3 linked regions of the Xenopus tropicalis genome follow. The protein of the gene in region 1 purifies or fractionates together with the protein of each later gene. This does not show direct contact. Links are inferred from orthologs where the notes say so. Each region holds a gene or a part of one and is shown in the gene's direction. Other genes may lie near its edges. The genes, in order: themis, grb2 and ptpn11.

Region 1 (4,083 bases):
CGAACAACCCTTTCACAGGGGTCGCCTAAGACCTTTGGAAAACACATATTTCCGATGGGAATAATAGGAATAATTTTATGGTTGGGGGTCACCACAACATGAGGAACTGTATTAAAGGGTCGCGGCGTTAGGTAGGTTGAGAACCACTGATCTAGTAGAATTAAGTTATTAGAGTTTTTTTGAAAATGTTTCACCACTAATCTTGGAGCTGTTCAGACAAGTAGTGAAAGTCTGGTTGCTTTAGACTAAATTCTACTAGATACTGTAAGCACATATTTTTCATGTAGTTTAATTAGATATAGCACCACCTAGTGAGCAACTGTGAGCATATTTACTACTGAACCCTTCACTCAGCTTTTTGAAACAAAAAGGTTGACAAGTGCTGTCCTTAAGAAAACAATATTAACATTACTGTGAAATGATTGCTTTTTCTCCCTGAACTGTTTGTACAGGCTGATATTTTAGACAGTTGTAAGAGAGGGTCGGATGCCTTTTTAGCAAATGAGAGAATGCAAGGCTACTGGTAAAATCATTAGTGAACCAGTGCTTTAGAATAATAATTACAACAAATAATATAGGATTGATCCAGGGACTTAGAATGGAATATAAAGCCACATGAACACTTTATGGAATAAAAGACAAAATAGACTCAAAAGAAAAAAATAAGCAAAAAAGAAAAAACACATTTTTTGGACCTAGCGCACATTTTTTTCCTGGCAGGTGCTTTTATTGCAAAGGATTTGGAAAATGTCTGCAACATGCACCCACATCATTCACAGTCAAACACATATCATCTGCCTGTGATCAGTGCTCTGACAAGCAGAATTTTTCCCAACTTTTCAATGCAAATAAAAAGGTTCCTGATGTGCTATCTACAGTACAGTACCCAGGCTGCAAATTCTATGTGCATTCAGGGTCACAATTGGCAGTACGGTTGCCTCTGGGTTTTAACTGGACTGTTTGTTTTTTCATGGACTGTCCGGTTTAAAGCTACTGTACCTGTCCAGAATCCAAAGGTCTGAAACTAGCCCTGCCCCTTAAGTTTGCAAAACAAAAAGGCTATGATTATATCATCATATCATTATTATAATCCACATTTCTGCCTTCTTTTACGATGTAGGTCAAAGCAAAAGCAATATTACCACAAAACCTTATTTATTAACACCACAGTGGTGTTTTCTGCTTATATACAGGTGTCTATGACATGTAAGAACAGGAACTTTGAGCTTTGTATGACCAAAACCATCTTCCTGTTCTGCAGCTCTTAACTACAAACTTGTGCAGTGTGTCCCTAGCAGCATACCACACATCTCTGCTCTCTGTGCATAGAATTACTTTGCTTGGGCTGCATGACTAACCTTGGATTATGGCAACTTCACTTGAGCAATTTATTAATACTCTGGATCCAAAAACACTTCCAAGAGTGCTGCAGATACAATCTGGATATTATTATGGAGGTAATTATAATACAGAATTGTTTTTAGAAATGATAATGTCTCTTTGAGTTGAAGGTTGTCAAAGGCTTTGTTACGTGGCATTGTGACTGGCTTCTACATCTGTGCCCAATAGCTCTTGCTAATTTCTTAATATTTATTTAGTAAGTACAGGAATGGGATCTATTCTCTGGAAACCTGATATCCAGAAAGCTCCGAATAACGGGAAGGCCATCTCAATTTATGTTTTAAAAATTATCTCCTTTATGTTTGTATTAATAAACCAGTGCCTTATACTTGATCCTAACTAAGATATAATTAAACCTTATTAGAGGCAAAATAATAATTTGGGGTTTATTAAATGTTTACATTTTTTTAGTGAACTTAAGCTATGAATATCTAAATTATGGAGGACCCCTTTTTCGGAAAACCCCCAGATCCCAAGCATTCTGAATAACAGGTCCCACACCTGTATATCACATTGGCAAGATTGTATAGGATGGAAACTGCTGTCAAGAAACCAATTATCCAGAAAGATAAAAAAAAAAAACCTGCAGTTTCCATTTTCTTTTGTGTCCTATTTAAACACACAATTCTGTATTTTAGGCTGATGTGCTTTTGTTGTGTAAAAGAAAGGCAATACCTTATATCTAAGAATGACTAAGACAGCATAAATCAATGTTGATGGCAAAACATTCCTACTGGGTTTAGTCAGTGTTAAAAAAAATTTTCCCCCCATTGCCTTAAGGGTAATGGCCCATGGGGAGAATAGTCGCCTGTGATAAATCTCTGGTACCGCTGGTGACTAATCTCCCAGAAAAGCCTTTCCACCAGCAATAAAGGGAATCGCCAGTGGAATGACCCCGTATCTGGATAGTCCTACATCCCAAACATTTCAGATAACAGGAACCACACATATAGGTTAAAAACATGTCTATGTCTTTGTTAGCATGCAAAATATCAATTAGTAACTTAACACTACATCCTCTGGATTTATCACCTTTTGCAAGCAGATTTTATTTGTGTACTTTTTTTTTTATTACAAATGAACAAAAACTCAAAATAACCTCACAGGCTTAGAAGCACATGGGCTTTCACATTAACACGGTTTGGAACAATTGCTTCATTATCTTGTTTCCAGCAGGCATGACATTACCTTTGGTGCAGCGACTATACCAAGCTGTGGTTAATTAAATGCATGAATGGTCAGAAAGGGAAACACCAAAGTGCTCCACCAAATTAAAGTGCTGAGTTTGTTATTCAAGCAACATATATAAACAAATGGTCATTAAGTTTTTTTTTTTGCTGTATAGACTTCTTTATTGTATTGAATATAATATTTAACCAGAGAATGTAATGAAAATAGTTTGTGAAAGGCAAATTATTTTTGATTTATGAAAATGAGTATTTAATATACATTTTGTCAAACTGCTAAGTATTAAACAACTCATCCGGCACTGAAAAAAAAATGCACTTTTTTAAGCTTCTGCCTTGTGACAGGTCTATGTATAAATAAAATTATCAGGGTAAAAACTGTCAAACAATATTACATTGCAAAATGCAATTTTTCATTTTTAATTTCTGTTCTGTATATGATATATTACTTTTCATGTAACATGAAGAAAATAAATTCCTAGGGGCCAAATAAAACCTTTTTCTGCTTTTGTCCCAGTTGAAATGCCTTTGCTTGAAACGTGCAACAGCCTTAGTCCTCTTGCCTGCAGGTTTTCTCCTTCCTCACCTTGCTGGAACCTGTTTAGCACAGGGAATTTCTTCACACGCTGTTGGATCACTAATATTTTTCCTATCAAGGACAGTACAACCTTATATGGTCTAATTTATGCTGTGTGTACCTATAAGTATGTACTGTACTGATTTAATTTACAGGATAACAGGGCACCCAGGCACTTTGGTTGTGGCAAGGAAGTTATTTTTCTCCACAAGAAAGATACATTAGTTTCAAAATTATGTGTTTATTGTTGATTGAAGTGTTTTGCACCACAATAAAAATACAAATATCTGCATATTTTACAAGAGTAGGTACATTTTCTCTGTTATTTTCTTTTATATAATACCCAGGTCGTGTAACACAAGTGGCATTACTAAACAGTAATTAAAGCTTATGGTTTCCTTCATAAGGATAAAGTTTATAGCTATTCATGGCTTTTGTGTATCAAAAGAAAAACAAGACAACATTATCTAACCTGCAATGGTCCAAAAAATACAACAACTTCCAAGTCTATCGCAGGAATAATACACCCCTACAAGAGTGAATGTACACCTTTGCTATCCTGCAGGTACTGCAGAACTACCAACATCCTCTTGCAATTAAAACTGTAACAGGAAGGTTCCGAAAGATTAATGCTGAACACATCTGATTGTGACTTCAGAATTTCAGCAAATGTAAGAAAAGATAGACACCCATATTACTCATATTACAATCTAAGTTACTACTCACTTAGGTAGTAAGCTCTACGGGGCAGCGACTTCCTTTCCCACTGTGTCTTTTACCACGTGGCAGTTAATCGATACATATGTATACTTAATTATTTACTATTATTTTTGTATAATGTTGTCTTTCCTGTATGTACTTTTCTAAATTGTAAAATTGTACAGTGCTGCATATCCTAGTAGCATTTAATACATACAT
Region 2 (3,850 bases), on another chromosome or scaffold:
TCGGCCTGCTTTGCCTGCACCCACAAGGCTCCCTATTTGCATCTGGGTGCAGGCAAGTTTGCGTTTTGGCACCGAAATCCATTCTGTGTGCCTGCACTAGGCCAACACAATGGCTCCGGTTGCAGAGGAAAGGCTGATGCCAGTTAGGGAATAAACACAGGCCGAGAGTCAGTCCCTTGTGGCATCAGCCTTGCTGTCCCTTTGGGCCGCCCATACAGAAATGTCCCTGGAGGAGAGGTGGATTTTTATCACTTATAGAGCTGAAGCTCTCAGAGTTGGAATTTGAACTGCAGACTGTTTGCTGGGGCTGTAATTAGAGTAGAGAGATAATGCAGCCATAACACCATAAATAAGGAATGAATCGTGCGTATTGTAGGCCTATCTGTATCAGACTAAGGGTAATGGCACATTGGGCAATTCCACCTGCCGTATTCACCGACTGCAAACTCCACTTGTGATTTTTTTTTTTTTCTTTAAAGGTTAAATTTCTCCACTTCTCATTTTTACACAGCGTTTTAATGACCATTTATTTCTGAAATGTTGTTCTGCCTTTCCTGTGTCACTGTGTCTTTGGGTGATTCTCCGCTGTGCTATGATTGTGCTACTCCCTGACTTACTCCACTGTGAAAATGTCATAAAATGCAGTTTGCTCCTTTTTTGTCAAAAAGACAAATTCACTTTAAATTGCTTGTGAATATGGTTTAGGAGGTTATGGTTCAAAGTAGAGGAAGAAACATTTGCACACTGTCCCACAAAGGCTCCAAATAAAGTGACCGTCTGTAGAAGATGTTGTGCAACTTCAGCATAGCACAGTTCCTTTTTTAAATTTGTGTCTTTGGGAATACGGAGAATGCATTTACATCTGTTTTACCATCACTTTTAGCCCCCCCAGAACAGACTTTTTCCACTTTTTGTGAATCCCCCCTTGGAATTGCACCATATACCATTTCTCTAACACATAACAGTCCCCTCTTGTGGTTTTTTTGCTTGCATGCTCTCCCTTTTCCTGTTCTTTTAATCTCCAGTTCTCTAATAGTATTTCCCGCTAGCCACAGCTCTCCCTCTGTGTGTTTTCTGCCCTTGAGTTTAATGGCGTTCGATTTCCGTAGGTGGTTTTTCGGTAAAATCCCCCGTGCCAAAGCAGAGGAGATGCTTGGAAAGCAGAGACACGATGGTGCCTTTCTGATCCGAGAGAGTGAAAGTGCTCCTGGAGATTTCTCCTTATCAGTCAAGTGAGTGTTTTTCTTATGGGGATCTGTATTTTTTTTGGCAGTGCGGTCATGAATAGGGCCTGTTCCCCTTTACAATAACTTTTAGTATGACATAGACATTAATATTCTGAGACAATTTGCAATTAATTTTCATTTTTTATGGTTTTTCAGTTTCTCAGCTTTTCGTTCAGCAGCTCTCTGCTTGCTAGGGTCTTGTTTACCTTAGCAACCAGGCAGAGGTTTCCGTGAGAGACTGGAATATGAATAGGAAAGGGACTGAATAGAAGGATAAGGAATAAAAAGTAACAATAATAAAATTGCAAGCTCACGGAGCAATAGATTTTTGGCTGCCGGGGTCAGTGACCCCCATTTGAAAGCTGGAAAGATGTAGAAGAGATAATAAAATAAAACTTAAAAAAATAATGAAGATCAATTGCAAAGTTGTAAGGAATAGGGCCATCTATAACATACTAAAAGTTACCTTAAACTTTAAGGAGCATCTGTAAAAATTCACCCATCTTCTTCAGATTCGGCAATGACGTGCAGCACTTCAAGGTCCTACGGGATGGAGCCGGCAAGTATTTCCTGTGGGTGGTAAAGTTCAACTCGCTGAATGAGCTGGTGGACTACCACAGGTCCACATCCGTGTCTAGGAACCAGCAGATCTTCCTACGAGACATCGAGCAGGTTCCACAGGTACACGGGGGAGACAGAGCCACGAATTTGCTACAGGTATATAGAGGGGAGGGACAGGCAAGAGACTGTGCTTTGGATAGAAGCGCGGTGCATTTATACAGCTTTGTGTGGGATATAATGTATCTCGTTACTAAAGAGGAACAAAATCTCATCTTCTCTGATAACATTGGGCCTTTTCTCACATTTCCCACCTACCTTCCTGCCTGTCTGGTGTGGCTATTTGGGTTCTGTCTGTGTATAACTAGGGTGCTTTGTGGTGCATATATATTTCTGCTTGTAGGAATGTTGTGCTATGTATAATAGGTGCATGCAGAATGAGGGAGGGGTATCCTGTGTTATTAAGGCTAAGCCCCCCTGACATGTCGATCTTTAACCTCACCGCAGCAACCGACCTATGTGCAGGCGCTATTTGACTTTGACCCACAAGAAGATGGTGAACTTGGATTCCGACGAGGAGACTTCATCCAAGTTGTAGACAACTCCGACCCCAACTGGTGGAAGGGGACATGCCTCGGCCAAACTGGCATGTTCCCACGCAACTACGTGACACCCGTTAACCGTAACATGTAACCAGAGTCGGCAAGGAACCAGTGGCCAAGGAGGAGCACAGGCAGACTGATCTGGGAGGCATTTCGGACTGACTGAGCGACCAAAGGGAGAGAAAATCTTTACCCGGGGGAAGCCAAGACAGACTGACCAAGACAGACAGATGACTGTCTAAATGCAGCCCCGCACACCAGCAAGGACAGTTTGCCCCGGGATTGTCATAAATACTCAATAACAGGATAGAAACATGGATAGATCATTAACTTGGGGGGGGTGGGTGGGGGGACATAGACATATATTGTAAGAATGCTTATGTTTTGACTGCCTCAATCTGGTTGGCTGCTGCCCTTTGACTGACAGATGACAGCATTGCAGAATAGCGCAGGGGGCGAGGGTGGGAATGGTACGCATTCAGTATAGCTCAAACCCAACTCTATAGACCGACAGACTCGACTGTATCGCAGATGTTATTGCTTCCTGGGCCTGGATCTGAGACGGCGATCCCACAAGTCTGGCTGTGCTTTGTGCAGCCGCCACGCACGCTTTCCACAAGGTGAACCCCTTGGCCCAACGTTGAACTTTTTTTTGGGTGGGAGGGCGAAGGGTCCGACCGACTCTCGAGGGGAAGGGGATGGGCGATTGTTGATGTTTGATTAAGAATGCCAAAACTTACCTTTAAATTAAAACAAAAACAAGAGACTTTTTTTTTTAATTAACAAACTCCCTTTACTGCTGCTGTTTCTTCCCCACGTCCCATTCCTGTTTCACCCCCCCCATCCTTATCATGCATGTGTTAGCCAAGCACTAAGTACACACGCCTTGGAAAATAAAATGCGCAGAAGTGAGAGCTGCCATATCCACTCATTTTCTCTCTATGCAAGTCTGGTTCTGCTGGTTTGATTGTAAGGGGCCACAAACTCTATCCCCCCCGTTTTTCTGGAGTAGGGAGCCCCCCCAAATAAACAAGGTTGGTGGGGGGTGGAGCGGTAGCTGGCACATATATGCCTGTCTAGCCTGGTGTCTGTTCAGCTGACCGGCCTCAGGCATCTTTACATGATATTGACATTTTGTATCTCACTCCCACAGTACAGACAGCAGTTGGCCTAATCTACTATTCTATGGTTCTGTCATTTAACACAAGTACTGGCAGGAAAATACGTTTGGGATTGGGGCTGGGAGGGGGCCAGCAGGGATCTGGCAGGGTATTGGTTATAACCTAGGGTTTTGAACGACAAGAGGCAAAGGACACTTTTAATATCACACAATTATTTCAATTTCTGTGAGGTTGCTAGGGGAATTCACCCTAACAACCTGGCAGTGGTTTGACTGACCGGGTAGGAATGGCTTTATGCTTGGCAGTAGCTTCAGAAGTGGTTCAGGGTAGAATGATGCAGAGA
Region 3 (3,654 bases), on another chromosome or scaffold:
AAAAAATCGCAAAACATACGAAAAAGTCGCAAAATGTTCGTTTTCAAGTCGGAACTTTTCCAATTCGGGTCGGATTCGTGGGTTAGTAAATCAGCCCCTTAGTATATTGAATTATTGTATTATGCAGATACCTTGCATTTTTTTTCTGCTTTCTCCAGGATTTAAAATATGATGTTGGAGGGGGAGAGAAATTTGACTCTCTGACAGATCTCGTGGAACATTATAAAAAAAATCCTATGGTTGAGACTTTAGGAACTGTACTGCAGCTAAAACAGGTAAGACTAATTAAACATGACAATTAACCCCTTGTACCTATTTACCCATATGCTAAGAATTTAGCTTTTCTTTTAGCCACTGAACACAACGCGGATTAATGCTGCAGAAATTGAAAGCCGGGTAAAGGAACTTAGCAAGCCAGCAGAGACTGCAGATAAATTTAAGCAAGGATTCTGGGAAGAATTTGAGGTACTTTTATAGTATTGTGTCCAATTTGTTACCCTCTGTTTGGCCTGTTATTTGTGTGGTTTTTTTTATATTCATTTGCAGTTACGGTTTGATGCTTAACATTAGAATGCTCCCCATCAGTTTCCTTTAATGATAATTAAAGTCAATATGCTATGGAGTTAATTTCTCCAAACAAACACAATCATAGATTGTTAGGACACAAAGATGAAAATAAGAGGGGCCATTGATTTATGTGTATAGAGAAGTAGATTCTGCATCATTTTTGTTCCATTGCTGCAGTAATTACATTTTGAAAGATTACTGATAAAGCATTTAATTTTACAGACTTTAAAAGCACTAAGGATGTTTTTTTTTATTAATGTTTGTCTTTGTAACGTGCATATAATTTAATTTTTTCCTACTAAAGACATGCTATTTATACCCCTTCCCAGGACACTTTGCAGCATTGCAGTATTCTCTCAGTAATCTAGATCTGCACTCCTTAGGTTGTACTGCAGTGTATGACACAAATTGCAGGTAGTTTATATTCGCTGCTTAATGAAAGTTCCTAAATGAAAAGACACAGTGAACTAACACACAGGAAAAGAGGAAGAGATCTCCAAATACAGGCTTTCATACATAACCTTAATTGTAGTAAAGCCTCTGAAGGCAGCAGAAGTAATTAATGTAGTTAAAACCTTATGTGCAACATAAGGGCTACCACACCTACAAAAAACTTTAATTACAATTTAATTATCCAGCTGCTTATCGATGCATAAAACTAACTGCAGCAATATGGAAGTCTGATGTCCCCGCAACATGCTTCCAGTGTATTTAAATAGTGGTTCTTTGTAAATGAACTCATTACCAAATGGACTGTCTCTTTACATTTGAGATGGCTTTGTGAACTCCTGTCTGAATTAGATGTGTTAGAACCCAGAATAAGTTTTCTTATGTGCTGCAGAAAACACACTGCCTTTTTTAATAATAAAGTAGAAGCACCAATGATTTTTTTTTCTGACTATATTGTCTGTTCTGAGACATGTAAACCTGATTTGATATGGTCCCCTTTTAGCCTTGCCCAATCAAGAGTAACCCACCATCACTGCTTTGCACTATTTAGTTTGCCTGCAATACAGCATGTATTATAGTAGAATTAACTACCTGTATTCAGTCAGAGCTACTTCTTCGTCTTGTCTTGGCCCACGGCCATTATGTGCGCTCTGCAGTCCACAGAGCAGTTCTTGGATTCAAGAGTTTGACAATAGTGTGGTTCGTATCAATAAAGTATGACTAACTCATCACAACAAGTTTAAAAAAATAATTTTACTCAGATATCCATATTAAAAAAGAATAAAAACCCCAGAGGATTCCGCCTTGTGCGTATTCTTAGGCAGTTATGTCTTTTAATTAATATATATGTAAACATTGAGCTCTTTCAATTGCAATTGTCTTGTTTTGGAACTTATGGGGATATAACTGCTTATGACTAAGTACCAGAAGGGTGCGAAACACGTAAGGCGAATCCTGTGTATGCTTTTTTTAATATGGATATTTGAATAAAATAAATTTTAGATATGTACTGTAGTTATGCCCATTAATCTGCAGGCAGAATCCCATTGACTCCTTTTTTTAACTGGCCAGTTTTGATCTCCAATAGCAGTAATTTGTGATTAGTGTGATTAGGTTTAACTTTAAGGGAAGTCCTCCCAAGAATTCTGTGAGACTACTTATTTTGTGTTATATTTGTTTTTCAGACTTTACAACAGCAAGAATGCAAACTGCTGTATAGCAGGAAAGAGGGACAAAGACAAGAGAACAAAAATAAGAACCGATACAAGAATATATTACCTTGTGAGTACTGACTGATTTGATTCTGCCCCATGTTAGTTAAGAGATGTGAGATTTATCATGCTGGTATTCAACTAGGGCAGGACTGTATGAAGTAAGAAAGAAACTCCCCAGTAACAATATTCCAACATCTAGTGGAAAGCCTACCCAGATGAGTAGCAAATGTTATAGCAGCAAAGAGAACACCAACTCAAGTTCATACCCTTGATTTTGGAATACGAAGTTGGAAAGGCAGTTATTGGAATACTTTTGGCCACATATTTTACCTGGAGCTTTCCAGTTAAGCATCTAATTATGACTGTTTTAAATTATTTTTATGCAACTTGGGGGTGCTAAAATCCCAGAAATAACTTTGTGGTAATGCAGTCTTATGTTAAATGGTGTCTGAGGATTTCCTTTTGTCGGTAAGAACAAAAATATATTTATTTGAATTGACATGCCAGGTATTTTTGAACCTTGATCCAAAAGCCTTGAATCGATGTTTTACTTGAACCAAAAGCCTTTTTTATTACAGTGTGTTTGCTTTGAGCTTTATTGTCTACAAACGTCTGGAGTAAAAAAGTTAACGTAGAAAGAAAAACTAGAGAAACCCTGGTGGGATATATAATATTGCAGTAGCACAAGTAAATTTATGGCTGCTAATTATTTTTCAGATCTCGCAGAAGGTTTCTGTTAATAATAAATGACTAGGTGCTAATTAGTTTTTGTTATTTTCACCTGCACTAGGTTTGTGGTTGATGTATTCTTTACCCACTGCAACCATATATAATCATTACTGAACAGACAACTAAGCCACAAAGAGGTAGTAGCAGCACTCTATTATAAGGAACTATTGTGCCAAGCAAGCAAAGTGAGTGTTCATAGTGCTGTGTCATTAGTAGAAATAGCTTTTGGTTTTGAGAAGGCAATTGTTCTGTTTTAATGCATCTCCACTTTTTGGTGATTGCCTAAATGTATATACAAATACACGCACTCATGCATAAGCAGTCTGTCCCTTTCATATGAAGCAGGACTGGACAAAGGGGTAGTCAGGGTAGGCACCTGCCAAGGGCGATATTTGTTCCTTCAGATCCTTGATTTTGCAATAAGCAATGGGGATGAAGGATGGCTAGTGCAAGTTACAGTAGCAGTGGCAAAGGACCTGTTGAGGAGGGTTGGTGATTTTGTTTCTTGCAGCTGAGGCAGCAGCAGAGGACTGGAACCAAGAATGGAAGTTTGCTAAGGGTTGCCTCGGGCGCCCAATTCTTTTGGATCATCTCTGATATGAAGTACTTTTATGGGAACTTGTTTTAGATTAATCTATGCCAGTTTTGCGGTGGTTAGCAGAGGCTTATGTGATACTATGCAGATGTACTGAAA

Evidence for each region.
Region 2: the proteins of themis (region 1) and grb2 purify together in Homo sapiens (co-immunoprecipitation; 6 studies listed by BioGRID and IntAct, counting the BioPlex papers as one, with this or other methods). This does not show direct contact. The link is inferred for Xenopus tropicalis from reciprocal best matches to the Homo sapiens genes THEMIS and GRB2.
Region 3: the proteins of themis (region 1) and ptpn11 purify together in Homo sapiens (co-immunoprecipitation; 3 studies listed by BioGRID and IntAct, counting the BioPlex papers as one, with this or other methods). This does not show direct contact. The link is inferred for Xenopus tropicalis from reciprocal best matches to the Homo sapiens genes THEMIS and PTPN11.

Annotation. Positions count from the first base shown.
Region 1 is NC_030681.2:68,102,322-68,106,404, reverse strand, and holds the start of themis (protein THEMIS), read left to right. Parts: upstream 1-1,277; 5' UTR 1,278-1,366; coding exon 1,367-1,457; intron 1,458-4,083.
Region 2 is NC_030686.2:44,450,244-44,454,093, reverse strand, and holds the end of grb2 (growth factor receptor-bound protein 2), read left to right. Parts: intron 1-1,109; coding exon 1,110-1,232; intron 1,233-1,738; coding exon 1,739-1,943; intron 1,944-2,291; coding exon 2,292-2,477; 3' UTR 2,478-3,333; downstream 3,334-3,850. UniProt on the Homo sapiens protein: Non-enzymatic adapter protein that plays a pivotal role in precisely regulated signaling cascades from cell surface receptors to cellular responses, including signaling transduction and gene expression.
Region 3 is NC_030677.2:163,821,399-163,825,052, forward strand, and holds part of ptpn11 (tyrosine-protein phosphatase non-receptor type 11), read left to right. Parts: intron 1-158; coding exon 159-275; intron 276-351; coding exon 352-465; intron 466-2,201; coding exon 2,202-2,298; intron 2,299-3,654. UniProt on the Homo sapiens protein: Acts downstream of various receptor and cytoplasmic protein tyrosine kinases to participate in the signal transduction from the cell surface to the nucleus. Positively regulates MAPK signal transduction pathway. Dephosphorylates GAB1, ARHGAP35 and EGFR.